Lepisosteus oculatus: one gene and its partner. The protein of the gene in region 1 interacts with the protein of each later gene in a pairwise test. Links are inferred from orthologs where the notes say so. Each region holds a gene or a part of one and is shown on either strand. Other genes may lie near its edges.

The links.
Region 2: the proteins of shtn1 (region 1) and fabp3 interact in binary tests that used the Homo sapiens proteins (3 or more experiments, as listed by UniProt). The two-hybrid records come from large-scale screens. The link is inferred for Lepisosteus oculatus from reciprocal best matches to the Homo sapiens genes SHTN1 and FABP3.

What each region holds. Positions count from the first base shown.
Region 1 is NC_090699.1:32,164,590-32,180,867, reverse strand, and holds the start of shtn1 (shootin-1), read left to right. Parts: upstream 1-7,436; 5' UTR 7,437-7,518; coding exon 7,519-7,576; intron 7,577-10,008; exon of another isoform or gene 10,009-10,145; intron 10,146-10,271; coding exon 10,272-10,324; intron 10,325-15,933; coding exon 15,934-15,994; intron 15,995-16,278. Other genes in the region: atp6v1ba (V-type proton ATPase subunit B, kidney isoform), read left to right, coding at 276-380, 3,584-3,713, 4,833-4,975. UniProt on the Homo sapiens protein: Involved in the generation of internal asymmetric signals required for neuronal polarization and neurite outgrowth.
Region 2 is NC_090706.1:10,132,657-10,149,828, forward strand, and holds the start of fabp3 (fatty acid-binding protein, heart), read right to left. Parts: upstream 8,629-17,172; 5' UTR 8,515-8,628; intron 7,120-8,514; exon of another isoform or gene 6,980-7,119; 5' UTR 6,955-6,979; coding exon 6,882-6,954; intron 1,151-6,881; coding exon 978-1,150; intron 1-977. UniProt on the Homo sapiens protein: FABPs are thought to play a role in the intracellular transport of long-chain fatty acids and their acyl-CoA esters.

The DNA of each region.
Region 1 (16,278 bases):
TATATAATATTTCCATAAATACTTTTCTCTGTTTTCAATTTTATAAGCTGAATTTATCAGACTTTATTATTTATGCCAATCCCTGAACAACAGGTTAAATACCAAATGTTTTTTTATTGACATGTGTCCAAACAAACATGGACACAAAACCTTTAAGGTGTGTATGAAATCATTACAGATATTAAGGTTCAGATACAATGTGATTTAATTATGATAACAGATAATAGTTCACAATAGAAAAACTAAAAATCCAACATTAAATCTACATCCCTTAGATATACCCTCCTATCAATGTGTTGCCTTCTCTGTCTCGACTGATGAAATCAGCTATTGGAGAAGGGATGACACGCAAAGACCACGCTGATGTCTCCAACCAACTGGTAAAGAGCTTCTCTGTGTATTTTAAGAGAGTGATGCTGTGCATGCTAAATTGCATAACTGGTAATGCTTTCATACAATGTACATTTGTCTATAAAGGGTTTTACTTGTTTTCCATTTTAGTTGAAAACAAATTCCATTTTAGTTGATAAAACATTGAATAAACTCATCAATAATCCTTAAGAAGATGAGAATGTGGAGATAAAGGTCAGTTAATCTTAAATGTTTCCAGAGGCTTTGAAAGTACAGCTTACTCTTCAAATAGGAGGCAACTCCAATGGTGACAAGAAACTGAAGCTTTCACTCATGTACAGAAGTGAACCTCTGGGCACTTCACAATGTTGGTAAATCTCGGCTTCCTGTAAAATGGGAATTGCATTGGAATGCCTGGATTACCAAGCAGGATTTCTATGAATGTTTTTTTCATTATTTGGCTCCAGCACTAAAAACTATTGAAAGGGGGAAAAATCGTTTGTTTTACTTTCAGACAGTACTAATGTACACACAACGATTAATTATTAATAGTTTTGCCCAAACATGAAGAACATGTTTAAGCCACTGAGGACAACAATCATCATGCAGCCGATGGCCCAGGGTGTTGTTGCTACCATGCACTCTGATTATTTGCAATGCACATTCTCCAATCTTATTGAGGAAATTAATGGTTAAGACAAAATAACTATAACCAGAGTGCCACTCAGTGATAAGTTACAATGAAAAGAATTAGAAATGAGTGATAGGTTTGCAAAAATGTTTTCAAAATGTCACATATTGGACACTACATAATAGCAATGGTTTGCAATTAGTTTTTCTTAAGTAATAATACTGTTCAAAACTCCTTAAAATCAGAAGTTGTTGTATACTAGACCAAACAGTACAGTGTTGCATCAGTCCTTATATATATTTGGGTTGTTATGAGTTAAAGACCTTACCCTTTGTCTTCAATAATTCATTGTTTCTAATAGGAGAACTGTCCCCACATACGTTGCATAAATTAAGTCCTTATTCTTACCTCACCCCTTAACTTGGAGGGGAAATTCCACATTATGGGGCAGTTTCACAAAGAAAGATAACTCAGCTCGCTAACTTGAGTGAATATGTTGTCAAGTGTCTGGATTTTGGTTTCACAAAGCAAGACTGAATTGTACCCAGTTAAGCAGGTTAATTTAAAGTTAGCCTGACTTAGTGGTTAAGAGCTCAACCCACAGACCCATCAGTCCTCTGCAAAAAAATGACATCACCTTTCTTCAGGGATCGAGTTAATATATAATACATAAGAGTCTTGCGGAGAGAATTAAAGGTTTAGAGATCACCAAGACCCTTTACAGTTTGTTCATATTTTGTATTTAAAAGATACAGGATATACTTTACATTCACAATCTCTTCAGGCCATATATTGTTAACACATATTACTCATTATAGCTCAGCATTAACAGAAAGTCAAACTCTGTGCCCAGGGCTGAATTTCCTTGTGACTGGTGCAGTTTTTTTACTGCATTGCTGACTCAAAGGCATTCGGTAAAGAGACATTGTGTCATGCAATAAGGAAAGTGGTGTTTGCACTGGTTTTTGCATGTATTTGTAACATTTCTCAGCCTTACATGAGTGAAGTAGTTTAAGTAGGTAGCTGTGTCAGCATGCATAGGCTGCAAAGAAACAGTTAAAGGTTCATTCCATGTTGAAAAGAGAAAAAAGGAAACACAACGTTTCGGCAGTGGAGTCTTCTTTGAGTGTGAGCTTCTTTTCTTTTCAGCATGGAATAAACCCATTACCTGTTCTTTTACATTAGTGAATACTGTCAAACTAGGGTTTTGTGAAATAGCCAGTAATATTCTCATATATCTATCCAGTGTACATGTAGCTTCTGTTCTCTATAGCTATGTACAGTACCTTGATCTTCCAGCCTTTCCTAACGTAATATGTGCTCTGGACTGCACAGGAAGCTATTTTTGATCACAGAAAATCAATTCACAGCATCAGGCCCTGCCTAGCATAAAACATATGAACGTTGAATACACAAATGATAATGAATCAATCATTTCCATCAAAAGTTTTAAACACCATGTGTGTGCCTACAGCGGGTTAGATGCAAGACTGAGTTCATAATGTACAGTTTTTTTGGTCATCAGAAAGTTTCCTCTGTTATCAAATAAGTAATGACAACACGTGCATGTTCACACAATTCTTTTGAAGTTTTACCTTAATATATTTAATCTGATTTCATAATTACTGTCCACATTCAATTTATTGGCAATTCTTTGCCGGAAATCTTCCCTGGCTTTTGCAAAAGCTACCCTATTACAGCAGATTTGCCCTCCTCATAGTTTTCCATAAGGAGCTGTAATGCATGATCACTGGATTAAGACACATGTTCTTTTGCTGGGGTTTTTGCTGGCGAGGATGCACAATTCAGTGTTCAACCCTACTGCCTACTGATTAACTTCCCCTTAATGTGTGGTTAATCAGATTGCTTAAGATTTAACATGACAACTGAAACCAGAGATTGCCTTCGTGAAACTGGAGTAAGCCTGAACTCAGGTATTGGGTTAAGTTGAATTTGTTAAATCTACTTCGTAAAACGGCCCATATAAGTAGTTTCTTATATTTTTTGTAGCACTTTTGTTGCCCCTAACCCCAACATACAATGAGAACCCCACTTTACATGGGTGTTGTGGGTTTGTGGAACCTGAAATTAAAAAAGGAAAATATCTTGGAAGTCTTAGAGCTTGGGGTGTTTGGATAACCCAGTAAAGGACACCTGGAGCCCACATGACAGCCAATGTATATATTGTAAACGTATATAATGGAATCTTCCTTACAGCTGAGCAAAATAAATATTCCAACAATTCTACCCAAGGTCATTCCTGTGGCATATTATCAGCAGGGAAAGTTACTAGATGTATTTCGTTGTAGAAATAGTTTGTAATCACAAATATAACAACAATAAAACCAATAGTAACACTTTCAAGGACAGAAACAGATGTCTAAAACACGTTTAAGCTTAATCAACTAAATGTGACAGGCATTTTCTTTATTTCTTTCTCACCAGTACACTGTTGAAGGCACTTTTTTAAATGTTTATGGCCTTGCACTATACCCAGCTTTTGAGTGCTACCATTCAAAGATGTATCACGTGCATTTTTCTGACATGAATAAAAACAAAATCAGTTGTTGCCTTTGCTTTATTGAACGCCTTTCTCTGCAGTACGCCTGCTATGCTATTGGCAAGGATGTCCAGGCCATGAAGGCTGTAGTGGGAGAGGAAGCCCTGACTTCAGATGATCTGCTGTATCTGGAATTTCTGCAGAAGTTTGAGAAGAACTTCATTGCTCAGGGTAAGAATATGACAGGTTGCAAGATTTATTGGTGTGGGGGAAATCAGTGACAGACTAGATAATACAAGTCTCCTGTCATGGTTCTCTCACCTCTAATAGACTGAAATCGTCTTGTACAGTGAGTAAATTCTACATTGCATGAAACTTGAATTTCCTTAATCACTCTGACATTTTTTGTTAAAATTGCAATTCTGTTGTGAAATAAATGTAAGTTTAGAGCTACACTCGTCCTTTCTAAAGGATTGTCTGGTAGACAATGTAATGATTATGTTTGCAGACCTCGTTTTACTCATGTGAGTGTCATTGGCAAGTATTAGTCACTTTAATGCTTTAAATCCACTTCCTGCCTGTTTTTGTCTGTATTTGTTTCTTGGATTTTTCTGCAGTCTCTTTCCTGTTCACATGCTGCTACTTTATCTTCACCTTAAATTCTGCCTACTTCTGCTAGAAAATATAGAAGTTAATTAGCAACTACAGTATATAAGAATGTTACTGCTTTCTATGTCAGTAGAATGCATGAATATTTTTAATGAGTGTATAAAGCAGATAACCTCCAATACTGACATACTCCTGTTGAAGGGAAAGATTTTCTTGGATCAGAGTCATACTGTATATAGTTACACTTTTAAAGGGTAGGAGTACAGCACTTTATTTCTTATTAGATTCTTATTAATATTTTAATTTTTAAGGGTGCTTCCAAAATATCATAAGATTTTTCTTCATAATTTCATCAAATTGAAATGTATTTTTCTGATTTGAAACTCCCAGTATATAAGAAGAGCCAAAGGCTATGTAGTTGGTCAATTTCCTATACGTCTATGTGTTTCCACTGAATTATGACAGTGTGGAGAAAGAGCGGGTTTGAAAGAGTGTGTATATAATAACATGATAAAATAATCATGTTTTACCTTGACATGAAGACTAAGACTGATCAAATAATTTCAGTAAAACCGTGTCTTGACTGATCTCTGCTGCAGAAAAACACAATAGAGAGCAAGATACCTTCTCTGAAACCGATATGCGGTTGTGGTCATCAAAGAATGAGTCATGGAAAGGTCAGGTGGAAATTTTCAGTAATTTTGCCAGTGTAGTAATTCTTTGCGTTTTGATCTGCCCTAGGTCCGTATGATAACAGAACAGTGTTCGAAACTTTAGATATTGGGTGGCAGTTGCTCCGAATCTTCCCCAAGGAGATGCTGAAGAGAATCCCACAGTCTACCTTGGCAGAGTTCTACCCCAGGGAGTCTGCTGCTAGGCATTGAGAAGGCCTAAGATCTTCAATAGAGCATATAGCAATAACCTTACCTGTTTCATTTTAAATGTATTGTCATTGTCCTTGTTAAAAACAATGTACTGTCATTGTCCTTGTTAAAAATAAATGGCTGTAGTAAATTTCTGAATAACTTTCAAATAAATGTCTGGATTATTTGCATACTTTTAAGTATCTAGAGGTAAATCTGAAATATGAAGTTATGTTCGAAAACAGAAGACAATCCTGACAGGGTAAAAAATGAATGTGGTTTTATGTCTTGTTTTATTCCTCTTGAAAAATCTGTTCTGATGTCACCCTCTTGGTTTACAATTAGGTAGATTGGATGCAATGATTTTGAAGCAAAGCAAAGATTCATTCCTCCTCTGATGAAACATGTTGCTTTAATGTTTTGCTCTGTTAAATAATGTGTGCATGTTTTTCACAAAACCCGACATGCAACAAGGCCATTCCAGGTCTGTATTATAAAAAGCGCTGAGTGTTTTCTCTTCAACCAGGTGTGCTGTATTTGATTTACTTGTATGCAGGGAGTGTTTGCCTTTAGTGAGTGCAGGTATTTTGGCATCTATGCAAGGCAGAATTGATTTTTAATTAGACTTTTTGTCTTCTTTGGATCTTTCCTGCCTGAATGGGGCCTTCTTTTGCTGTTCACTTGTGCTTTTGACCATTTTATCAAAAACTTTCTTATTTCAGAATACTTTTTGTTTACATGAGCCCAATCAAAACATGATAAAAAACAATATAAAAAAATGTCAAAACATACATCATATAAAACATAATAAAAAGCCCAGTTAAGACTATGTTGAAGCCAGGATTAACATTGAGGAATAGGCAATGCTTGATTCATGCAAATAGCAGAAATTCAATAGTTTTCTATTAAATACTATGCTATTAAATAATGTGTTTAAAAAAACATACAGTTGTAATTAACTGAATGTTCTGCAAATTGATTAGCATATACAAAAACTGTATTTTTAACAAGCTTGAAGACAGGATGAAATGCATTTGATGCCTATTTCTGTTGACACCACTGCTAGTTGTATTCCTAGCTGTGAATTTATATTTAGTCTGATTCATGATGACAATCTTTATTTTGTCCTTTGGCTTCTGTTGTGACTGGAAACAATTGTGTGATCAATCTAGATTAAATTAAATTATGTTTACAATAACTGCACTGTATGTGATGTGTACTGTGAACAATATACTTCCTATTGTGTTTTGTTCTGTGTTTGACTACCAATAAAATTCTTAGAATATTTCTCCAACTCCATTATGCTATTTACTATAGTATCTCCGATATGTCTTGTGCAAGCGGGACAAAAAGGATCAGACATTCATCACTTTCCTTTTTCGATTTTCTGCCTTTTTATTGCACCCTGCTAAAGAACACTTGAGTGCTTCTGCATCACTTATAAAGAACCAATTACACTACTGAAGTTGGAGCATATAAAGTAATGCAAATGTGAATAATGAATAAATAAATGGGTGTTTAGCCAAGAATGCTATTTCTTGTATAATTTCACCCACAAATAACTCCATTAATTTTAGTATATATAAAATATATTATTCAATTTATCTGGTTCCTATGATTGGACAGTTAATAAATACATATTAAAATAGAATTATGGCATTTTTAAATATGATTTATTTTGTTTCTCACAACTGATTCATCAACTGATTCATTCAGATTTTGTATACTCATGGAGTTACATGCTGGCAATTGAGTGATTAAATGTCTATACAATTTTATAGGGAACAACGAACTGCATTTTTTCAAGCAAGTGAATACTGCTATGTTTAGTAGAGTACATGTTAAGTAAATATGTGATTTATGCATCGTGAATGATGCCTCTAAACCTTCCAAGGTTCATAATGAGTGTTTTTAATGACGCTTAAGATTGATGATAGGTTTTGTTTTAACTAGCTGCAAAATGCAAAGACATAACGTAAACAAACGTGCAACAGACAAAAGTGAATTTATTACATTCATGGGAAATTTAAGTAATGTCAGGAATCAATATTTCGGAGTTTAAACGCACTCCACCACAATCTGACAGCTCCATTTTAATCCGATGTGACGTCACTCAAACTACCTACAACAACTGATTTTAGGCCATAGCAAGCAAAACTCGTGACAAGTTTAGTAGACACTACGCTTTTGGCAAAAAATAAAACCGTTTAGTAAATACTTTGCGTCTTGTGTATGAAAACGAAAATAAAAAAAAAATGTTATTTTAAATACAGAAATAATATAAGCTGTAATTAGTTTCATAAAAGGAAAACGAAGTATGTTTAACAGTGGAGTTTATTTTATAGCAAAGAAAGAAAAACATTTTCGAGTTTGGCCCAGCTGAGTAGTACCTGCGCATACCTGGAGTTCAAGAAATTCTTGCCAACGTCACGTCCCGTAGGCTTGGATAATGTTGAACGGCCCAGGTGAGTACAGAGTTTACTTCCTGTGTTAGACTGAGGGTGTCTGTATACGACATATCAAATACAACGTCCCGGGACGGTACATCTTCACATTTTGTTCAAATGGCGAATGTGGAGGAAACAAAGCAAATGGAGATTATTACACAGCTATCCAACCGAGGTAAGCTATTAGAGACAACGTATTTTGCTGAACATGGTACCTACATTTTATTTTTATGAAAGTTTACGGAATGCTCCCCTGACCCGATGAGTGTAAAAAGAAACTTCATACACTCACCGAACGGAACAGACTCTTAAGAATCTTATGTTTAAGAACAGATGGGAAGCCTTAAATGTGATGTGAAGACAGGGGCCGTTGACTGAACCAGGTAGAATTCTTCACAAATCTACATGGCAACTTTCAAAGCGAAATTGAAACCTAAGACAAATCACTGAACCGGGTTCATTGAGAAGAGCCACACTCTAGATGTTTACTCATTAAGCCTATGTTATTATTGGAAATAAAAATATTTATGTAAAACAATGTCTAAATTTCAATGATGGGTACTACAGGTAAACGTCTGGCGGACTTTAGTTACAGAGAGATGCTATTTCCAAGCTGTAAACGACAAAAACATTTCTCTTTAAATACTACATTCTTACTTCTAACAATATATTTTATTGGTATTGTTGTTAGTTATTATGACCATCCTTAATATTTTTATAGTAATATGTAAGTTTAAAGACAGTAATGATTAACGGGTCCTGTTTATTATTATTATTATTATTATTATTATTATTATTATTATTATTATATGCTTTCCTAGACGGATAAAAAAACTTTTCATTGAAGAAGGGGGATGGGAAACCTGCTCAATAGTTAATGGTGATGCTTTTAGTCTTTGAAATCATCTTAAATGCGTCAAGGAAAGATGCTACAATGTAATTAACACATTTAATACAAATAGGGCCTGAAATGACTTCTCAAGATCTGTGGCCACATAGGGGTTGTCGAGGCAACGTGTTTGATGTGTTCCTTCAGAAAGTTAATAGACTAAGCACAATTTTCCCAGTGTGAGCCTCAGTAATTTTCCGAGTTTGGTAGATTAATTTATGATGAGCTGTCCTGAAATGACGAATTGCTGATTGTTAATCACAAAAAGCACTCCTCACTTCCCCATAAACACACAAACAGCATTCAACCACAATACATGTTCAGCTCTAATGTTCAGCAAATACAAATATGGGGCCCTACATTTTTTTTATCAATTGACCATGAAGTCATAAATGTTGTCTCCCTCTAAAGCATTTTAAAGCTTTTAATTTCTCCATCAACAACTATGGTGCGAGGGCTAAGAATCTCATCCTGTGTCATATTTAAAATTACACATTAAAATAATGCATTTGCTCAACCTCATCCTTTTATACAAAGTTGCTTCTCAAGTGGCCAGCTGCCATAATGCAAACAGTCCTCATTAAAGTGAATAGGTTGGTGTTAATTACAGTCTTTTAGCATGTTTGAAGTGCTGATGTCCTTCAGCATTCCCTGGAGATTACTGATGTTTTACTGCACCACGTCAAAATGATACAATAGCATTAAAAGTCAATTTGTCTGTATTATTAAGGTGTAAAATGTATGTTGTCAATTATTTTAACAAGCCAGAACTTGAAAGTGTTGTTATTGCATTAAATCTGTGATTTGTTGTTGATCTCTGGCACAATTTTAAAAGTTTTTGTATTATAATCACCATGTACTGGACCCTCACTATATCAATGTATAGCCTGGGGGTCCTTTTTGAAGTGTTATAAAAGTAGAAGCATTAGAAAACAGTGACAATGTCCTTATAAAAGTGACATCTTGCACCTCATTATACTGCACATGATACTGTACATGCACTAATATACAAGATACTAGAATGCTTAGCACTACTTTTATTATCTGAGTAACCAAGCAAATAATTAAAATTCCTCTGTCATTTTTTATGTTAATGTAAATGTCTCCAATAATGGCATGCTGTATTAATGCTTTGCAAACATAAGTGCTCACTATAAATGTCCAGTGGTAGTCCAGAAACCATTGAAGTCATTGCCTGGCCATTATGCTAGGAAGACATTTGTTTTTAACAAAGCAGAGCTCTTAGAAATATACCTCATGTCAAACAGAGCTTTGATACCTACTGATATAGTTGGCTAGTTTATTCCATGATGAAAAGTAAAAAGAAAGATTAAACACAGTCGAGTTTAACAGCCAAGGTGTTAATATTTAATTAGTATTTAGTAAGTACTTTAGTATTACTTTTAGTTACTTTTTTGTTTTACTTTTATGGAAATTAACCTCCAGTTCTTCTTTTGTAGCTCAGATGCTAACATGGTGTCTCCCCACTATACCTTTGTTTTTCAGTAAGTTAGGGGACATTTTCATTGTAATACTTGCTTTCAAATACAGCAATAGGAAATGTTCAAACACAGCAGTCAATGTGATTGTTTGATTAACAGATTCAGAAAGGATTTGTATCAGATGAAGTCCAAAGCAAGAACAATCTTGTGAAAAGTAATTTAGATCAAGCCCTGTAATGTGTTCCTCAAACATTGCTTTTTTTCAACTTCCCAAAGCATTCTGAAGCACTCCTCTTTATTTTATGTGTGTATACTCAGAACTGATGGAGACTTTGCCCTTCAGACGAGATGAGACATATAGTTCTGTCAAGGCTTCATCAGGGGTACAATCATTTTCCACCACATTGATATTTCTAAAGAAATAAAAAAAAACAAGGTCAGAACACATTTCAGAAAATTGGAGCTGCATCCTACATTCCTCTCAGCTTATCCAGAATTGTGATTCAGTCTTTAACAGTTTCTTCATTTTGCTTCCACAGCTATAAATGAGTATGAAGGACTCCAAGAAGAACACAAGAAAACCAAGCAAGAGGTCAGTAGCCTAGCATCTCTTTTTTTCTTTATATGGATAATTGTGTCCTTTTCTTTGATGTCCATTTCAATAATGCCTTCACCACTGGCATCCTCCTAAAACCCTCTTTTGCTGCACCTCAGAAGTAGAAGATCTGTTATTGTTGGTTCCACCACTGTCCTTGAGCAGTTCTGCCAAGTATGTTAGATACAACATTTTTTATTATATTATTTGGATTGTGCTTTCTGGCTGGACATTAAAATGATAATTTCTGACAGGCGATTAAACACGTAAAATTGAAGGACAGCTAAAAAAGATGCAGTTGATTAGTCAGTACTTGAACGAAAGAGTTCAGTTCACTTGCCACATAAAAAAAGTAAATTTCATATGCAACCTTTTATGATGTTTATGGGTTCTAATGTAACAGAAGTTTTAACACATGGATTTTTATTTCATTGCATGATTAAAACAGGCACACAATTAGTATTGGCAAATCAATGAATAAAAAAAGATAATTCCTTCTAATAAATTGCATCCAATTCATGAAATAATTTATACAGCTGCAATACCAATTTAGGCTTAATTTGACTAGTGGTATTCTTCATCTATGTTGCCAGTGACTTCTGAAAATGTCCAATGCTTTGTAATGTAGATCATTAATAACCACGCTAGTTTCTGACAGGCATTTCTCTACTTGTAAATCATTTTGAACAGTCCTTACAATAATATAATTTTCATGAAAGCAAAAATGCCACAAACTATATCTTGGTATTTATAAATACTGGAAGATGGATTTAAGATCCAAGATGTAAAAATGTATACTGCAGGTGGTCTATTCACAAGCATGGAGTGGGACAGTGATAATTTACACTCCTCACCACCACACAATTTAAGAATTTAACAACTGTAGAGATGAAAGAGGCAGTGTACATTTAACTGAACTGTGGAATTTAGAAGGGAATTGGGAGAAAATAATTTTAATAAAGCTTTTATCTAAAATGTTTCAGCTTTGCAAGCTGTAATACCATTGCAATAGTCAAAATTACCTTAACCTCTCTACTTCAGGAAAAGTTAGATATGGTTTGTTTTTAGATATTGTTTAAAATGTTTTACAGTCCGTTTTAACTGAGGTAGCATTGGTTAGTGTAATTTGGCTATGTGGCTGTTTGGAGAGTATATTGAAACTGAATAAACGCAGGCGTTAAGATAATTGTGATTCTATGATGTTAGAGTCTCTATGGCGGTGAAAGCAGAATGAGATGTCAAATTATTCTCCTTGCTTTTTGGAGAAAGGTCTTATTCTGTTGGGAACTGTGGAAGCTGAAGTTTCTTCAGTTGTTCTAATGAAGAAAAGGCCACGCACAGTCATTTTGCACTGGAACAATAATTCCATAAATCCTTCCAGGCATCATCTTGTGAAGACAAGAGCTAGACAGTGCTCTGAACGCTAGGACATAAATGCACAAAGGCAGAAGTTACAAGAAAGTTGCCCAGGACTTGGATGAGAGAAGTGTGGTAATGACTAATGACATAATCCGCTCTGCTCACCCTACATGGGGAGAAAGCTAGTAAAGGTGCCCTAAATGTTGTCTGGCCCTTAACCACTCTCAAAAACTGCGAATTCACAGAATCAGTTTTGGTTCCTTCAACATCACCTTCATAGATAGCATTGATAGTGAATGGCAAGAGTGTTGCCCAGCACTTGGGTCCCGGAACTTAGGTGATGTGAGGTTCACTTTGTTGCCCTTAGTGAGACTTGGTGAGTGAAACTAGACAACTCAAGAGCAGTGAAGGAGCGAAACTGTCTTCGGGAAGGGATAACAGGACGAGTAGTACTGAATGCTGAAGTGGTTTTGGCATAAAAAATTAACTCATAAACCATCCTGATAAGTTTCCTATTAAAATCAATGAGCACCTTAAGACTCCCGATCACGAAGTCCTGAGAGTTGTTATGTCACGGTCATCAGCATCTACTGTATGTACTGACAATGCAATCAAGGAACCCTGGCCTTCCTGGTGTTCCTGAGGGAGATAGAATTATTTGTTTTGGTGAGTTCAGTGCTAGAATTGGAAGTCACCCAGTGCTCTGGAATGGAACCATTGGTGGTGAAGCAGTAGGAAAGGTCAACTCCTGTATCTAGTATCCTTCTCGAGGGCAAATATGTGAAACGTGGTCTAATCAGTTCAGCCCGTTCCACCAAAAAACAAGTCCAAGACATCATAGCAACACAGCTGATTTATGAATGTTTTTAAAGTTCTTTACAGCAATGTTACTTTTGACTACCAATAAGCTCTAAGATTAATTAAATTGGAATTGATGCTTAACACATTAACTATTCCATCAACAACCACTCTATATGCTCTGTCACTTTTGATTCATGGAGAGTATGACAAGTTCTGTGTTACATGAAATATGAAATATATCAGATATGAAAGAAGAAATATATAAATGGTCTGGATCTATATGCCACTTATGAATAACTATTCTCATTTTTGGATATACTAAGTGTTTATTGTGGAGCAAATGATCCAGGATGATGGCATCTATCTTGTTAGATCATCTTGCTGGTGTTACAGTTTGAGTATGTTGGAGGTTAATCCAGTAAATATGTAAATGTCCATGTTAGCAGCAAGAACCTTTTTACTTGATTATGAATTTGAAAACATAAAGATGTGTAACCTTTCATTGGGTTTTGTCAGGGATATCCTGGAAAAGCTCAGTGAAGTTCAAGCTCAGTGACTGAACAGATTATGAGGCAATTTAAAAGATTTTAAATGTAGTTTTTTATGTTTAGTAGTATTATATGGAAAGCTTTAACAACATATGCAGAATCCATGATTTAATGTAATCACCAACAGATGTCACATTCAATTACATGAACAGCCTTGTATTGGAAAAGATCTCATTGACTGTACGTATTTTAAAACGCGTTTAATATGTTTTACACCCAGTCTTTCATCAAAAGGTCATATCTTTTGGCCCTATTTATAGTGTACAATAATAATCCCACAACCGATGTGCGCAAGTTAATCACAGACGATTAGATTTCAGAACTGCAGCCATGATCAATGGCAGGGATTTATTTTTGAAAGCAGAATTTCATAATTAGAATCTGATCTGGAATTATCATTCAGTAAAGCACATGAAATGGCTTTACCTAAAGCAAGAATGCCTGAAACTCATATTTATCATCCAAGTTGCTAACATTTCTATAGGTGAAATTGTTTAATTGCAAGGATTTTTTTCTTTTGTATAACATTCAGTTTGGTATGAAAACCTGTATATAAACATCTTGCTGATTAAACTAATACACATTACTTTGAGAGAGAATCTGAGGAGGGAATAAATTGAGACATTGTGAGCCCAATTCAGTTATAAATTTAATATTGTATAATTGTATTAATATTGCATAACACCTCCACCTTCAATCCTCTACTAAGTTGTAAAGAGTGCTTGCTGGATAAAATGTGAATTTTTCCTAGTATTTTTTTCCAGGCCAACAAACAAGGTGTCAGGTTCAAAAGGTGGATATAGGTTGTGAGAGAGAAATTTAAACAAGTAGTGTTTTTTTTCCAAACTGCATTATTCCAGTTTATAGGTCTACTTTTAAAGACGGGAAAACCTAGACATTTGAGTAAAATCGAGGAAAATAGCCGATGTTTGAACCTGTTCCTGCCCATGATTTTGAATAGCCATTATAGTTGCAAATTGGGTCACACTTGTATTCACAGGTCCAACCTGAATGAAGATGAAGATGTTCCTATACCTCTCTCATATCTGACTGTTGAGGATCCTGTAGGCTGAAATGTTGACTGAAAATGTACTAGAAGAAACTAAAATGAGTAGAGGTCTACTCAATGTACAATTTCAGTGACTCAGATGTAAACAAAAGTACATTATTAAAAAGGTATCTTGCAAACCTACAGGACCCATAACTAGAGGCTCCACAAAACATGAACTTTTTATTTTAATTGCATATTATTATAGAGTATAGACAAAATGATCCTGGCACTTCTTATCTTCTTTCAGCGAGCTTCTTAGGAAGGCTGCTGAGATGGGACTCTGTGACTCAAATCCAGACATCATAAGCTGGGTCCATTGTCATGCCTTCATTGATGAAGTGCCTACAGTACATCAATATACCTTAGTGTGCAGTTTTAAGAGGGAGAGACGTCTCCCTGGCTTCTAACTGAGGCCAAAATGCTAGAGAGAATTAATATTGTAGCAGAAATGTTTTAGTTTAAGGAAATCCATCTTTTTCTGTCTTCTAAAATTAAAACCTTAACACAGTTAAAGATGTAGTTTGAAGGATCTAAATTTGCCATGCATATTTTTGAATACAGAAATAATCACAGTGTATACAAAAAATGTTGATGATGATAATAATTGCTTACACTTCTAGCACTTCTCTGGACACTCCACCAGCACTTTACAGGCAATGGGGATTCCCCTCCACCAAGTGTAGCCCCACCTGGATGATGAAACGGCAGCAGTAATGCGCTAGTACATTCACCACACATCAGCTATCAGTGGGGAGGAGAACAGAGTGATGAAGCCAATTCATAGATAGGGATTATTAGGAGGCCATGATTGGTAAAGTCCATTGGGAAATTTGGGGTTACACCCCTATTCTTTTCGAGAAACACCCTGGGATTTTCAATGACTACTGAGAGTCGGAAGCTCGTTTTTATGTATCAGCCGAAGGACAGCCCCTTTTTACAGTATAGTGTCCCCGTCACTAAACTGAGGTATCAAGACCCACAAAGGAGGTGTCTCATCCAGGTACTGACCAGGCTCACACCTGCTTAGCTTCAGGGGGTTGCCAGTTGTGCGTTGCAGGGTGATATGCCTGCTGGCTTGTCATGTGAAGATGAAAGGCATGTAATATAATAATACATAACACGTTAATATTGACATTATCACTCTACTAAAAACTTGATTCTCTGGATTGAACTCTGTTTTGCAACAGTTTCAATTTTTGTTCCCTTCAGAAATTCTTAGTGCCGAAGTACAAATCTATTTTTTGGTGTTAACTGGAAAGAACATGGTCTGTTCTCTCCAGCAGACCATTTTCAGTTATTAAAAGAGGACTACTCCAGCAAGAGCAGGCACATGAAAAGAGGTCAGTCTGTAGTTTGTGTAATAGTTAAGTAATTTGTGAAATGTGATAAAATTGGATGAAGCCAATAATCAGTTCAACTAGATCATTTATAGTTGTAGTGGATTTGAAAACTGTGGAGAGAATGACCTTCCAGGACAGGGATTGGGCACCACTGCCATATGGATTCATCAATTAGATTCATATCAGGACTCTGTGGCAGCCATTCAAGCACTTTTAGCACATCAGATTTCACCTCACACTCGAATTGCTTTTTAACTATGTCAGTAGCATATTTGCACAATTATCCTGTGAAAATTCAGACTCACAACTGTTGTGCATTTTCTTCATGATTCCTAGAGTGCGTGTTACCCACTTTACCAGAAATCATACAGTGATTTTAACTGCTTTGAATTATATCACCTTTTTTGAGGGATATAAGCAGTCAGAAATATCCATATTCATGTAGTTTCTTTTTTATGGTTCCTTCTCAAGGTAAGAATTGACCCAAATGTTCGTTTTTGTTTTCAGTTTGAAAGAATTAAAAAGGACCGAGATGATGCGATCAACAAACTCAAAGAGTTTCAGAGGCGTAAGTATTTGATTTTTTTACCTTTTGGTTGAATGTGATGCTAGTATGTGCTCTCAAGCCTTATCCCTGGTCCCTGCATAACAAAACAAACCACTTCAGTGAAACTTTGTGTATTTTATTTAAACCTTAGCTAATGGTCATGGGAAATAATTGTCAGCATTTACAATACAACTTTACATTTTTTCCTCTTCATAACATAATTGAAATAACCAGACAATACACAAAATTGGTTAAGAAGAATTTTCAAGCCTTCTGCTGAACCCAATCCAAGCGATCAGAAGATT
Region 2 (17,172 bases), on another chromosome or scaffold:
AGTGAAAAGGAATGACTCATACGGTGGTCATAACTACCATTAAATGAGGTGCTCCTAGCGGCAATATTGGGTTTCTTTAATGTTAATCCAGGGCTAATCAACTTCTAGAACACAAATAGTTTTGTTGCAACCAGCAATTTAATACATAGAGCCTGCTGATTATCATTTAATTAGCTGGATGCATCACAGCACTGCAGTGGACAAGACTGGAATGAATGAGTGAAGTCAAGAGTAAATGTTTGCCAGATGGCTACAGACACCCCCTGTCAACTTCTTGACACTTTGATCCTTTCAAAAGTGATTCCAAACATTCCCAAATCTGTGCAATACTAAACACTACACTAAGGTAAAACAAAATTATCTTAGGATTGATTTAACCCCCCACCACCAACTCCTACTGTAAAATAAATTCCCATCTTGACAGTCCCTATACTTAATGAGCAAAGCATCCTCCTAAATGAAGATTTAAATGAAGAAGTGACATCCTGATACACTGCTGTCACATGAAAAAATAGCTTTTGGTCAAATGGAAAAAAATCATTCACTTTTTGGTTACTTACTGTACATGTTCAGGAACCTGTTTTTATCCAAGTTATTACAGGAAGTAACTCTTCAGGGGCAAAAGAGATTAAAGCATTTAACCAAGTAATTTCACTTTTCATTCAATCATTCCCAAACCAGCTTTTCTATCAGGATGTCAGTTGTAGTTTTATATCGATAACCGAGTAAATGTGTGCGAGACAGTCGCACAAGTGCTTCTGTTTACATTTCTCAAACCAACTGACACACTCATTAGCACTACCACTCACAAAACGAAATGCGTTTGGAAAATCCTTCTGAAAAGCTAAAACCAATGCTACAAATGACCTTCTCCTTAGAATCGGCATTAAACGAAACGGCCCTCCACCCAAGGGTTTAGAGAAATGAAGGTCAACAATCCTGGCCGGAGCCAGGAAACCAGGAGCTGGAAGATTTACCTTGACCTTCCTGTCGTCGGCTGTGGTCTCGTCAAACTCTTCGCCCAGCTTGAACTTGATCTCGGTGTTTTTGAATGTGCTCTGCGTTCTCACGATGACCGTGTCTCCGTCCACGGAGATGATGGTGGTGGGTTTGGTCATGCTGCCAACTTGCCTGGTGGCAAAGCCCACCCCTGCAAAGACAATTCGGACCCATCGGTCACAGCCAGAAGTGCAGAAAGCATAGCACATTTTTGACCATTTAAGAAAGTAGCTGATTCAAATAAGAGGTCTTGGGCCTTGAGAAATTGCAAACAGTTATCTATAAAATGAATTAAAATAAGGAATAACAGCAGGTATTTGGAATCTAAAGGCAGAGGGAAGTAAGAGCAGAATTGCTCACTTTACAGAGCTGTTAAGATGTAGGAGTGTGATACTGGGACTAGATGGCAGCAGTTTAATAGTGCAGGGCTTCCCAGTCCTTTCCTGTCCTCCAGCGCAGCAGTCCATTAGGACTTGCATGTCTCCATCCCACGCCCCAGTCCCGCTTATCACCAGTGGCTTGAGAGAGAGACCCTGAGTGATGAGATTTAACCGACCTACACCGCAATGAAGACTGTAGAAAACTGACTGAAAACTGAACAAGCTCATTCTAACACAGTTCACACAATCTACTGCACCTACCCTGGCTAAAGGACTCATTTATTACAGCAACAAGCTTTGCTGTCTGTAATCATCTCTGTATCTTCTGATAAAACCTACTGCTTTCGCACGTTCACCCAATCCCTCTTCTGGGTCTTACTTTTATCCTTCATGGACTTTATTCTTGCTGGTAATAACTTGCATTTTTACATCCCCACATTCCAACCAGAAGGATCCCACAGAGTTTTACAAATTGGATTTTAAAGGCAAATCATTTAACACTGTAACAAAACATGAAATGAGTATTTTAGATAGCTTGTTTTGTGCGGGGGTTGTCAAAATGGTCTTAAAATAACCATGTGTAATCGATAATGTTTTGAATCAGAGATGGGCAGCGCCAGCCCCCCATGGTTTCAGGGTCTTCTAGTTTTCAATCTGCAATATTAACTACTTGAACCAACTGTTGGGAAAATCCATTGCATATAAGGAATTTGTCCTTTCACATACCCCAGCTTGCTCTCCATGAGACAACACAGACAGGGAGAGAAGCTGGGGGTCAGAACGCAGGGTCAGCCATTTATACGGCGCCCCTGGAGCAGTTGGGGTTAAGGGCCTTGCTCAGGGGCCCAACGGAGTAGGATTCCTCTGCCGGCCGCAGGATACGAACCGGCAGCCTTCCACCCACAGGTGCAGATCCTTAGCCACAGAGCCACCACACCGCCCCAGGATTAATCTTAAATCCAGCATTGCTGGAAGGTCATTCTTGCTATGGACTGCTGTCCCATTAATAAGAGAAGCTCTCCATTTGGCTTAGAGTGGTTCAAACCGGGATGAGCTCCGGCATGGATCTCACCGTTTTGTTGCCCACTGAGCCCGAGAAGCTACAACAATTTGTATCAAGGCCTGAACGAGCTAGCTGTTGAAAACAAATGTAGAGTTGTCTGAATATACCCCTGCCTATATCATTACCAAACCAGTCCAACTGCTACTGCTGTGGGTTTTTTTTAACCATCTGGTCTTGTTTTTTTCCCCACAAGAAAAAAATACAATGATGATCCTCTCGTTTGCATGTTTGATCAGGTTCATTCCCTTTTTGCAGCGGAGTATCAGTACAGCAGGTCAAGCAGCTTGTTCACAAAGCTGTTCCAGCAGAGCCCCTGTCTGATCGTTCCCTCTTGTCTATAGATCTAATGAATTTCCTGGTTATTGAATAGTGGGTATAATTTTCTCCTGACAAAGCCTCATTGCAAAATAGTTAAAGAACAATACTGGTAAAACAGCACAGACTTCCATCCAGCATCTTGAGTTTGTATAGTCAAAAAACCACACTGAACCTATAGGGGTGGTTTTCATGCAATATTTCAATGTGGTACTAGAACATAAACAGGCAAAAAAAAAAAAACAAGTTCTTTAGCCTTCAACAGAGGAGAATTGGAAGAAATGTTATCAAAAACTTGGAAAACAAAAACTGGCTACCATCCTCCAATCAGTTAGCTACTAGCAAACTATCTATGGGTGTTGTCTTCCTGGCAGGACCTCTTCCAGGATGGGGGTGCTAGCCCAGCCCTTGGCAGGGCAAACACACATAGCGAGGGTTTAGCAATGCTAATTAATCTAACGAGCAAGTCTTTGGAGAGTGCAAACTGGAGCACTCAAAAAACAAAAGTCAAACCAGGGGAGAGCATGCAAACTCCCACCTGGAACTGAACCCACGTTTCAAGAGCAGTGAGGGAGCAGCACCAGCCACCACACTGCCAGGCTGTGCGCATCCCAAGGGCACAAAGCTGAACTCAAGATGGGAAGGATCAGCCCATATCCAGCTCCAGCGTTTCGTGCAAACAGTGAAAGAAACAGTACCTTTCATCCAATTGGAAGGTTTACTATATCCAAATACAGTAAAACTTACACACTTAAATTTCCCCCATCCCGATCTGCTCTCCCTACAGAGCTGCCTACTGTTTTGAAGTTTTATTTTTGGGCATGTCGATAGTCTCAGCTCCTTTCCCAGCAGGGTATTTCAATTGTTTCAGCACAGAGCCGAGTTAATGACAGACAACCACAATTTTCCGAATATAGACAACTTACTCGGAACAAATCTCAAAATAACTTTAATTTCATATCAGGGATCTAGTGGATTAACTTGTGCCACACAGGAAGGCGCGGCGGCTTCTGAATAATAGACCTGCTGGCAGGATCTTACAATCTGTTTTCAGAAGGTATTGTTTGTGGCAATAACCACAGTGGTAATTAAGAGTCTAAACAGAGACACAGACACCAAATTAGAAAAAGCACAAGCTTCCATAGAAAGGAGTAAAATAACTGGATAAGACACAAACTGACATTTTGCTCTGAAGGACACTGTACAGTTATAACAGATTAGCCCGTATGTTGAAAATTTTTTTAGCACAACCCAGGAAATGGAGCCATATAGTAATGGGCACTCTATCCCACACCCAGGATGCAAGGCAATGGCTAAACATTTGGCCAGGAGTCACTGAGGACAGTCTGGTCGTGACCTCAGCCATACACAGAGCCAATCAGAAATCGCGACCTTGTCTACACATGGTCTCTTGCAAAAGGCAAAGGGGTGGCGCCATCAAATATTAACTCTGCTGGAGTGTTGCCAGAGCAAGGTGTGGCTACAGTGTAAATGATCATTCCAAAAACTGGACGTCTGCACACTTGACCTTACTCTGTGTAAATAACACAACTGGGCGGAGTCTAGATTAATATCGATAGCGTGGAGAGCTTCATCCTGTTGCATGCACAAGGGGCATTTATCTGCTAATTAAGCAACCATTTGACACCTTATAAAAGCCACCATCAATTACTGCCCAATTGAAACTTTGTTAGATGTTAACGGGGCAGTTAACGGCATATTGGCAGACAAAGCTTAAAAAAAACTATCAGACCAGTCAATGTTAAATTTGGGTTCCTGGAAGACAATTCACCATGTTTATATGTGAAAACAAATGCATGAGGTCACAATGTAATACTCACTAGTAATGTGCATGTAAGAGCTCCTGCCTTTTGATGAACGTGCAGTTTTAAAGCTGCAGGAAGACGTTCTTCAAAAACTGTGGCTCAGACACCACTTGCACATTCAGCACTTCTGCTCTGGTAGCGTTATGAGTCTGGTCATCAGAAGATGCAAAGGTGTTGAAATTTAACATTAAGGCAGAATTGGATAAATGAAACATAGACCTTAGCTGCACATACTGTATGCAGGGTGTACTCAAGACCAAACCAGCTCTTCTGATGAAGCTGACCCACTCATTGGGATACAATAACCAGCTGCATGAGAGTCTTGAGTTGAAAAGCAGCTGGCAGTAAAATGTGATACAGGGAGGTTAGCTTGTTCGGTTTGTAAATGTGTTAATGGCCAAATGATTTTTTGTTTGTTTTGTTTTGTTGTGTTATTTGGATCCACACCTTGAAGGTTTTGCAATGTCATGCAGACCTGTCAGGGTGTTCTCAAACCCCCCTGAGAACTGCTCAGCCCACCACTAATTTCAGAACAGGTTTTCTGCTGTGGCTTTCAAGTGCATCGTTTCTCCCCAACATAACCCATTAATGGACAATGACCATCCTGCAAGAATCATCAGTCTCACTCAAGATAACAACAGCATCTTCTTAAAGTTAAAAAGGCAACTCCACCAAACATGTATGATCAGGTTAAAATATCATTTTTATTCCAGTCAGTTTGCAGTGTATTCTTTTAGGCCATGAGCGGCACCATACCTGTAGCTGTGAAAACTCAGAAATCCGATTTGATCGCAAATACTTACCAAATAACCCGCTGTTGAAGAAAAGGAGGTGTGAAAGCACTTGGAAAGGAACACACAAAGACTAACGAGAGGCAAATAAAGTAAGCACACTCATCTATCAGCTCATGTAAAAAAAACGTGTCATTCCACTTCAACAAAATGCACTGTTGGCACTTCGGCTCTTAAAGATACAATATATTACTTACTGCATTACTCATCCGTCGCAAACTATCAAATCATTTACACAGGCATTAAAGGATGGCCACACACTGGAAAGTATCAGAAAGGCTGTGTGCGAGCACATAAGAAAATAAGGGCATTCCGAGACCAAGCCCAGGTTGTTTCAGTGCAGATAAGAAACTAAACGCATTTCATTTAACAGGTAACAGGATGAAGGGATATCTGGCTTCCGAGCAAAGAACAAGCACTATTTCTGTACGAGGTAAATACACCCCACCTGCTTTTTAAAAAAGGGAGGGGGTGGGAAAGCATGAAATGAGGGTCAAATCAAACAAGGCAAAACGTAGAAATAAATGTCTTCCCCCTCAAAACTAGTTCACTTCAACCACACAAAAAAAGGACAAGCCAAGGACATGAGTGGGTTAAACTCTAACTGGACTCGCATGCTGAACCAGCCCGATTCTGACCTCTGGGGCACGCAGCATGGGAAACTGAGGTGTGCCACATGACATAACGCTCAGCAGCACCACTGCATTGAACATGTAGCAGCACATGTCCTGCTCTCAAGAGTAGAGGAACGTGTCCAGACCGTAGCCTGGGGGAGGGAAAAGGTGGGGCAGCTGTTCAGCTCCCCGCTAATGTGCTGAAACACTTCTTCCTCAAATGAATGCCCCCACCCCCCCCCTTGTAAATCAGCACTATTTGAAGTGCATGCCGGAGGACCGAGAGGACTGAATTTTGCACACCCAGCTTGCCACTTCAGACATGCTCTCTGCTTTGGAAAGTGCACACGTACATACGGGTGCCCAATGTCCACCTCTCAAACATAACCTCCTAATTCAACAGAGAGTGGTGTTGCATCACATCATGGTTTGCATGTCTGCAAAATGTTAATAGAAATGGGGAGATTCTTTTAAGACTCATCTCCATAAAAATGGGAATTTTACAGCAGTATTTCTTTCATCTGCCTCACAGCAGGCAGTGCTTCATTTATCTCCCATTTATCAGTGATGGGTAAAATGCTTACATTCTTATGGCTGGCAATGTAAACTGATCTTTCCCCTATTGGCTGCCTGTGCTTCTCCATTAAATTCCATCGCCAGCTCTTAATTTTACCTCGCAAATACCAAAGATCACCTTTGTGGTCGCCTTACCAATTTTGGCAGATTTTGTCGGGCTCGTGGGTGGCTCAGCAAGAGTTAAAATGGCAGCAGTTTTGACAGCACCTGCGCCCGGCTGAATCATCCGACTGCAAGACGTGCATTATGCATGAAAGATGAATTCCAATCAGACGGAGGACTGCCGCTTTGCCCTAGGTCTCTCCGGATTCACTCACCAATGGCTTTCATGTAGTCATCAAAGTTCTTGCTCTCCTGCAGATTCCAGGTTCCGACGAAAGCCTCAACCATGATGACTGGAGGGTCAGCGAGCAGTCTGCGTGGAGGAAAGAAGATAGCTGTGTCAAACACCGACAGGGAGAATGTGTGACAGAGCAGCAGCAGGAGCGCAGGACTCTCGCCTTTCTACTGGAAGGTTTTATATCAGCAGTCTGTGATGTCAGAGAAGCAGAGAGGGGGTGTGGGAGAGGGAGAGAGGGAGAGAGGGAGAGAGACGGGACGACTGGGGATCAAGCGCCGAGAGCGGCGAGGGAATGGGATTGGGAGGAAAAACGGGAAACAGACAAAGATTTGTCTGCGGGGTGGGGGTGGGGGAGGAGTGGAATAACGCGAGGGGCCAGCGGGAAGAATGAAATGTAAAGACTGAGACGGCGGGAGCGATGGGGAGGAGGAGGAGGGAGGGGGGTCAGGGCAGGGACGAGCGAGTTTGCAGATGCGCAGGCTGGCTCCGCTGCGAATCGATTTGGAAGAGGTCAATGGGACCATCAAGTGCACGGCCTCGCCCGACGACAGGCCCCTTCCCCCCATCTCTGAGCACACAAGGGGGCCTCACAAGCAGAGTGCGTCTAACAGCTGCTCAACAATGCCAATGCTCCACATCGTCTATCAGGAGGACTGCTAAACCTTCTGGTAGCACACTTTTGCATAGAACGTCTTCATGCACAACGGGATAATTTTAAATAAAGGATTTTATCAATGCAATGGTGTTCATGTCTCGGAAATTAAAACGCCTTTTCCCTTAAACGCAAGACAGGAGTAAGACGGTAGCTAACACTCAGAAGACAGATATATCTGAGCATCCTCCTCCAATTCTGCAGATAGTATTTTCGTTATTCACGACACACGTTAATGCTTAAGGCAAGAGATAACAACGCTACACCCTTTAAAAACAATAGAGCTCCGTGTGCCCTTAGACTGTAGTAAAGTGTAAAAATGAAAAGCAAGGAAGCGAATTAAAAGTTCTAATATTAAGAAACTACCGAAGAACTCCTACAAGACAAAAGGTTTATATTGAAAGGTTGGCCGACTTTCACCCAAACTTGTTTTAATACCGTTAAGCACATATCAACCAGGCACAAAAAATGCTCTCAAGATAGATCTCGCATAGATTTAAGAAACGAGCGCTTTGTACTTCCGTTCTCGGGAACGCACGATTTTTCCTCATGATCTACATATAAAGTCTTACAAGTCACACCAAGACAAAACATCCACCCAGCCTATGAGTGCTTTCTTTCGGACTCCCTGGCTTGTGGAAAGATCTGAAGCATTTTCATTTCAGGAGAAATGTTTACAATCATCCATAGCAAAAGCATTAAATGCACCGACAAAACCGTTCATAAACACGTACGACCAAGGGCTCCTTTTAAACCACGCGGTAATGAGCGAAGAGAAACTCGCACGCAGTCCCCGCCAGTATTTTGGGCATCGTGGAAAGCTTGGAAAAATGCGTGGGAATTTCGCACGAGGTGCGGTGAAGCTACAGACTTCTAGGAGATACTGAATTGGATACGATACCGGAATTTTTAAAAAAAAGTAAAATGAGAAATTACGGTTGGAAAGTAAATAAGCTACCTCTGATTTAGCTGACACTGTTTAATCCGACCGGTGTCGATCCTTATGGGATTCGGCTAACGGCCCACTCTGACTGCCGTTTCGATTTTCTGCTGGGGAAACTGCAGCGACCCCCGACGCCTAATTTTACTACTGCAGCGCCGTACCGCCCCCTGCTAACCCTGTATATATGCCTGTCCGTACGTAATGACGTATTAGAAAGATTTACCAATCAGAGTCCACGTTATGCTGTTTATGCGTCATGACGCAGCGAAATTTCTCTTCCGTGCACGTGGGATATAGTTGGGTGTCGCTCGCAAGGGTTTGGGTGGACGTGTAGTTACGGTTTTGTGCAGCAAAGCTTTGTTGGTCAGTGTAACGTACAAGTTTCCACGTGTTTTTTTTTGTCGAGATACCCTTTATAACTTTTGTCTGAGTTAAACATAGAGACAAACTGTGTTGAAGGTGGATTCGTTAAAGTCAGTCTTATTTAACTAATGAATGTAGTGAATTAGTTTGTAATTGGCTGGGAGATAAAGGTGAAAAACAAAACTGCCAGCCTGTTGGGAAAGCGCGCTAGAACGTCATGTGACGAGGGACGGACACTGTATCGCGTTTGGAAGCCGCTGTGGGGTTTTGAGTCATTGCGCCAAAACAAGACAAATACCTGAAAACTGATTTTATCTTTATCTTTGATCGAGACGTTTTCCAAGTTTGGGCACGACTGTTGTTAGGAACATAATGTTCATCTCTTAATTGAGCAACAATAACAAAATGTAAAATACACTGATGGAACAGGCAGGTGCAAAGCAAGAAAACACAAGGGGCTGCATGCCGTGAGCAGCCTACAGTTTGATAACGGGCCTGATTTCCACATTAAATAGCAACACGACAATTACAAGATGTTCTTCAGCCTGTTTTTTGAAAATGCATGTGAAAGTATATGAACTGTGCCATGACGTGTGGTGTGCACAGCAACAGGCTTGACATGACCTATTCTATACTTTTTCACAGCTCCATAATAGTAGTAAAAAAAGTTCAGTACTGTTTTTTACTAAGTGTAACGTACAGTATATGCAATAGCAATTTGAATGAGAATGAAAGTAGAACAATTGTGAAAATAAGAGTTATAGGCAATACCACATTACATAACATTGCACAGTACCACACTTCAATACAGTTAGCAAATGTTTTCTTCCTCAGCTTAGTTAGCGTTTGTTGAGACAAAATGATACTGGTGCTTTTATTACCACAAAAATAGTATAGTTGGAAACTGCATGCTTATTTGAAGCTGAAGTCCACCCATCTCTTCTGGATCGAGATCTCTGAATTAGAAAATCTTCACTCTTGCTCTGGCGTTTTAGAAGTCGCTCCTCCTTTTTGAACAAAGAAAAAAACAAAGAAAGCTGTGCTTCATCCACCTGGTTTTGAATACATTGAAAGTGCAATAGAAGAAGAAAAAAGCTCAAGGCTTTTCTGTCTTCGTAATGCTGAGTCAAAGTTTATTCATACCTGTTGCTAAACATGATGTAAAACACTGCAGTGAAATATAATCAAATCTCCCAATTAAAGGCTGTTTATTGGGCACTTCAGGTGTTAAAGTACAACCACAGCCCAGTTTTTCCAAACCTTCTACAAAATCTTACGCCACCAATCTGACACCTTGCCCAGCCTATGTTTACATTGGAACTGGAGGTCAAAAGAGAAAGGTCCTGCTGTTCAAACCCCTGTAGGCAAAGCTGAACCTCTGACAGCCCTGCTCCAGATTCAGCCATGTGTTGCTACATTCTTAACAGGAGGCAGGCCAGGTGGCAGCCAGACTGTAAATTTTCAACATTGCTTGACGCTTTGCACTGACGTGACTCCCACGTGGTAGACTGGGACCCCAACGTGCTTGCATCCCCTTCGCATGGAAGCCTTGGAAGCTGCTCCAGTTTGTGAAGGTAAAGGAAGACCAGGATGCCTTCTTCATCCCATCTGAGCAAGCTGCAAGAAGACATGCCTAAACCAGCCTTCTTTATTCCATTTGAATGAGAAGCACGTATACATGCCTAGACTAGAAAGAGTGGACAGAGAATCTGCCATCTGATACATAAGCTTGTTTCCACAGTGCATCAGAGAAGAATACACTGTCTTGGTCAAGCAATGTACCCATATCCCCCAAAGCATCTGCCAGCACCTATCTGCAGAAGACTTGAACTCTGGTAACACAAGTAATGAACTTAAGTTGCTTAGTTACATTAGCCTACCATGTGTGATCTTGAATGATTTCTAGCAGGAAGCATCTTACTGGAAGCTGCAAGGGAACAAGAAAAGGTTAGTTCCACACTGAAAAGTAGGATGAAGAAATGCAATGTTTCATCTGTTGAACCTTCTTTATCTGGTTACTCGGCAAATGCACTGACGTAGCTCCCCTCTCTTAACATCGTCCTGCAGCTGCTTCTTCATCAGTGGGGTTTAAGAGGTAAGTATCAAAGCCCCAACCATGCTTTCAGAGGCACACACACTGGTTGAAATGCGTTCCAATTATCTAGAAACATTTGGGCCAAAATCAAGCAGCCAGCTGAAAGACAATAACACATTTCCTGGGCAGATGACTGTTTGCACTTAAGCAATTGTTAAATTCCCTTAACATGTCAAGGGCTACAGCTTCAAATGTATGCAAGTATTGAGCTGTTGCTCAGTTGGTTTTTAAGAATGAGACCAATCTGTTGTGGAAAACTGTATCTAGTCAATTCTACCTGGCAAGCTGCAGCTGCTGTGATTATTACGAAGACACGCAGACAGAACATGGACGTATGAGTCGAGTCACAGTGTATTTACAGATTTGTGCAATGGGGTTGATTTGACTTTTGAGTAATCCTCTGGAGGTCAGCATCTCAATACCTTTGAACAAACAGCACCAACACACATGCTGCTCAGCTTTTGCTGTAGCATAATTCTCTGGTCCCTGTGCAAGTGCTTGGAACTGGGGCATCTAAAGACATGGTGTTGGCAGAGTACAAGCTGCATACCCAGCACATGAAGTTTAGATATCAAATAGGTGTTAGAGAATTGGAATGAAAAATATATGAGCAAGATGTAAGAGTTTTTTTACTTTCTTTAACTAGACAGTATTGGGTAGCAATTAAAGGTCAGCAAAATACTCAGATATGTTGAGAGTATAGAATTACACAATGCATTGGCTAGTCCTCTCTTTGGTGACCACATTAGTAGAAAGATATTGTTGTAGAGGTTGTGTAATGGGACCTAATTCAGGTACTCAAAATTCTAAAAGGTCCTGATCAAGACAACATGGAGACCCTATTTCAAAATCAACAACAGCCCAAGGAGCCTGGGACACAGGTAGCGTTTAAGTTGATGAGTATTTAAAGGCAGGAAACAGTCATCTTCCCTTAACACATTATTGTGAGAAACTAGAGTCATCTTGTAGAGTTGGTAGAAATCGCAGATCGTTTGCCACTAGTATTCAAATGAGCAAAGCTAGGTAAAAGTCCTCTTCTCATTTTTCATGTTTGTATTACTCTTCTTAAGCATTGCTCTGATTGTGTTGTTTGAATGGTATTGGAAGTGTCTGCATTTCAGTGTCAGTTTTGCTTTCACACAACCTATATTTAAATTAACATTGGACATGAGTTGCAATTGACAGAGACATTGGACATCAATAAGACAAATTACCTACAAGCATGCTCTGTGCGATGTAAATTCTCACTTAGCCTTTGAGAGTTATCATCAGCCCATTATTACAAACCACTGGAAATTATTTCAATCTTAATGCAATGTCTCATGCTAAACCTCAAGGTCTCAACCTAAACCTGTCTTAATATTATTTCTATTGTTCTACACAAGCTCTGTCTTTAGCCTTAATCCACATTCGTCCTTATTCCTGATATTCTTGTTCTTATACCTATGTTGTGTGAGTTGTCATAAAACTCATACACCAGATAGCATGAGCCATTTGCATTTAGATCTTCTTTTATTTCAGATTCTAATACACTAATACACTAATTTTCTTATCGGAATTCCTTATTTTTTACAAACTACTGTATTTCAGGGAGTATGACAGATTAGAAATAGCGAACATCTAAAGGCTCTGCTATGAGTAAGGTATTTAATTTGTAATTGTATACTGTACTTCAGCAATCAAGATATAAGAGGATACAATGTGACAAAAAAATGAAACATCATTAGCTTAGATGTTTTGAACCAAACTACCCAATATGTAACAGATGCCAAGTCCATCCTGGAGGCCAGCACAGTGAACTTCTGTAGATCATGAAGTTCAGGGATCTGTGAAAGATGAGACCTGAGAGCCCTTGCACCTGTCACATAGACATCTTATATGGCTGAAAACTAAAAACAGCTGCCAAAAAAAAGGTTAGGCCCTTGCCTGCGGCCATGGCCATGCAAAGGCATTGATCACTCACAAAGCAGCTGTATGAGTCTAAAACTCCATTAAAAAACACACCAGCTATTGTGTGAAGCGCCTTCATATAATATACAGGTAGTAGACAAGAAAGTAGGAAACGCCCATGTAAAGTCACTTAATAGGATTCTGGGCCACCAAATGCAGCCTGGTATGCATGTGTGCATTGCAGCATAGAGTCTGCCAGCATGTAAAATTCTCCAGGAGGGGTGTGGCACCATTGTTGCATGAGAAAGCCAGTCAACACACACCTGATTGGTGGAGGAGTAAAATGCAGTCTGGCGCATTGTGCTGGAATATCTTGTAAATCCTGGATTAGGTGCAGATTTGATGAAGGCCATGACATGTGGCTAACATCACCAAACCTTTCGGGTGGCCACACACCCTCTGCGGCTGGGGACATTGTCATCCTGGTAGACACCTCTCCCAGCAGGAAAGACATTCCACTACACTGTATGAAAATGAATCATTCAGCAACATTGAATGACAGTTAGCTAGGTTTGTCGTCTAAGGGAAGGAGTGCCCACATTATAGAACCACAAGACCCATTCTCTGTTGGAACCAGGCACTCAGGGTTGTAGATTTCCTCTAAGCCTGCTGTTTCATGCACTTGTGTGTTTGTTGAGAACATTGAGAAAGATGATTCATCTGATCATATCTCACTTCTCCACTGTTCAGTAGTACTTAGGTAGGACCTCAAGGTGCAGTGCATAGCTGGTTTTTGAGTAGACCTGTGAGCCAATGATTGTATTATTAATCTAATTAAAGAAAAGGGGTACAATGAATTGGGAGCACAGGTAAGAAAGGCTGTGGAGATATAGTTAGGTGTAAAATTTTGGACACCACAATAAGAGGGAGTGCTTCTCTACAATCAGGCCCGAGACAAGTGACCGAATTTAGAAGGATCATGCAATGTTTTTTTGCTACCAAGGCATGCTCCTGCACCTGCATGTACTGTAGTATTTAGGTCCCGTTTACATTAAAACTATTCTGTACTGTGTAATGCTTCTTTGTCCTTTGCTACAGCTGCTGCACCCCACCAAACATCTCATTTTTATATCACCTGTATGCCCAATTAAGTCTAATTAACATAACAGAGTAAGTAAGATTCCTTTGAGATGTTCCCCTTGAGAGCACATGAAGCAATTCTCAATCTTCATGCATGAATGCCTTGGATTTCTGTAGCTTCCTAGAGCTACTTTTTATGGACCTTTTGTAACAAATGTCAAAAGGAAACCTCTTGCAAACTGCAATATAATTATTTAAAGTTTGTTTACATTGCTGTGTGCAAAACGTGCAAAGACCATTTGTTCTGTTTGATGCAGGATACTCAAGGCATTTTGAATATTGAGCCTTAAGAGTTTCACCTCAACAGCTTTCTCAGCCAGCAAAGTCATCGTACCCTTAAGTACTCTTTCACCCAGTCACACTGCACTGCTCACCTGATATACAAAGTAGGCCAAAGGTCAGTGTTTGTAAATCTTTGACCAGTGCAGAGACAGCTGCAGTTACAGTCTCAGTACCAGCCTCACACGTCACTGTACAAATTTGTCCTGCAGAGGGATTTAGGTCATAGAAATGCACAGAATACTTTGGCACAGACTGCTAGGTGGGGAGGGCAAAAATGAAATTTAATTTCCTATGAAAAATATAGATAATTGGATTCCTCTGTCATGGCATTATCGTTAAAGGTTTGAGGGTTTTGTTTTCAAATTCCAACTACAGTATAACTGCACCATTTGGTGAGGTGTACAGTATGTTCAATCCTGCATACATTACAGGATTGGTAGGATTGATTGACAGACTATGTACAAAGAACTGGTGTGGTTCTTATTTCATGTATGGATGTAGGGTGTCTGTGAAAATCTAGTCATGCCAAAATAAAAACAGAGATGGACACATTTTCCCCAATTCAGGGTGCACACCTCAAGTCCTGGAGGGTCAGAAAGTTTCTGTTTTTCTTGCCATCTCAGGACATAATGAGTACTTAATTGAACTCATTATGTGATTAATTGGACAAGTTGAAGCATTTCCTTGTTATTAAGAGGCTGTATTTTTAAAGAGATTAGTCAAACCTAAAGAACAGAACAGCTCTGGATTTCCACAGTTGATGGTTTTCATCCTAGCAGAGTTATTTAATTGAACCCTTAATTGAAGTTGTAAACTGCTGAATTGAAACTGTTAAGATGTCAAGTAACTTTTAAGTTAAAGGGAGTCTTTCAGTACATTTAAGAGTTGAAAACATTTCGTGCGCTACTCCCATCTTGTGGATCTACTGCAGCATTGCAGACCTGTGTACAGTATGCCTGTAATGTGATATTTTAGCATTATTTCCTGGGATTCTAAAGTATCATTTGGAAAGTCTGGAAAGAGCACAAGCATTTTTCTTTTATTACAAGCAGCTCCTACTCCTACATGTTTCATGGGACGTTTTTGCTTATACAAAGCATAAAACAAGACAGTCTTAATAAGGCATACAGGTGTCACAAAACGTTCTTAAGGACCCTATGCAGACAACACAATCCGGGGAGGAGTGAGGAAAACATGAGGAAAAAAGCATGCTGGAAGGGGCTGGAAGGAAAACAGGGTGCGCTGGTGTCCGGGGGAGGTGTGGCCGAGGCAAACAGTCCGAGGGATTCCGAGGCAAATCCATGAGTGTAGCAAAAGTCCAAGACCGGGTAATCCATCCTGACAGACAAACTGAGCTAAAAGCCGGAGAGGGATCCGGCGGAGGGACGGGGGAATAAAAGGGGGGTCACGGGACCGGACGCTCCCTAATCCCGGACTCAGAAGGTCAGGATGCCGTGATGAAGCCTGTGCCGTCGAATCACTCCCGGACACGCGGGTAGGCGGGCTTCCAGGCATCCATCTTCCAAAGCTGAGCCTAGATTGGCAGGAACATCTGGCTTTTATAGCACGGGGGGCTGGAACTGGAGGCATGTGCGGGAGATGAGTATAAGACAAGGAAGGGCTTAACGGCATCAATTTTCTAACTTCCAATACAGGGTCTCAGGGCAATGGACACAGCACATCTTCGGTTAAAACACAAGAGTTTGTTTAAGGCAAAAACCACAGACCTTGGTGTATCATCAGGCTTGAAAAATCGATTTTTATATTTCAGAAAAAAGACCAATATAAATCTCTCTTTTTGAGCAGGATTATAGAAAGTCATCTCTGACAGCAGTTTCCATCTAGGCTGGGATTTAGAATATCTTGTGGCAACAGCAGTTAGAGTCAAGTGACTCCTGGCGTTTGCTCAAATAGACAGGGAAACATTTGCCTAGACAGATTTTAATACAAGTCGCCAAGAGTGCACACCTGTGCACAAGAGATATTGTCTTGGTTTGAACTGGACCATATATCTGAACTATAATAGAACAATTGGAATCAAATAACCTCCTGAGATGGTTCTGAGACTTGCTTTAATTGCATTTTATCACAAAGCTGTCATTACAAAGTGCCACATTACCAGCGTGTTGTGGTAATATATTTATCTTATTAGAGGTATAATACATTTGTATCAGCCTCTGGGATATGTACAGTTCTCCCTTTTTCCTCAGGATTGGACAGGTGTTACCATAGTGAGTGTAATGAATAGAATATTAATTTCTGGAATTGTCCAGTGATACCTTGTCTACAGGTGTCCTTATCCTCAGACCAGTGGGATAGATCCTTTCCAAAATCGGCAGGATGGAAGAAACATAGCAGGATACAAATGCTTTTTGTGGTTGCAGGGAATAAAAAATGAAAAATCATATCAGGCAGTTTCTTTAAGGGATCACAGAACCATTTTCAACACAGGGGTAAGATACTGTACATAAAGACTGGTTTCCTGGTTTCTCTCTGTCCACCTTGGAATCTAAAGTTGCCCGACACCCCAGTGTCAGAATGCATTTGTCTTCACACAGTGGGACAGACTTGACCACCAGTCGCTCTAGCATAAAAGAGTGGAGGGACGCAGAATTCTGTGGTCTGGGAACACGACACCAGGTAGCAACTTTTCCTTCTCTCTTATATCTTTGGAATAAATGAACCTACTGTAGACAGGAATGGATAATTCCAGTCTTCAAGAGCCAGATTAAATGGTACAGCTGCTTTTAAATGTGACTTTTTTATCCAGATACTTCAATTAAATAATTAAGCATAGATTTTGAATAAAAACCAGAGGATCCTGTGGCTGTTAAGGTCTTGTTTTGGCCATTCCTGGCCTCGATAGAAGTGTATTTATCCACCGTGTTGGAAAGAGGCTGACT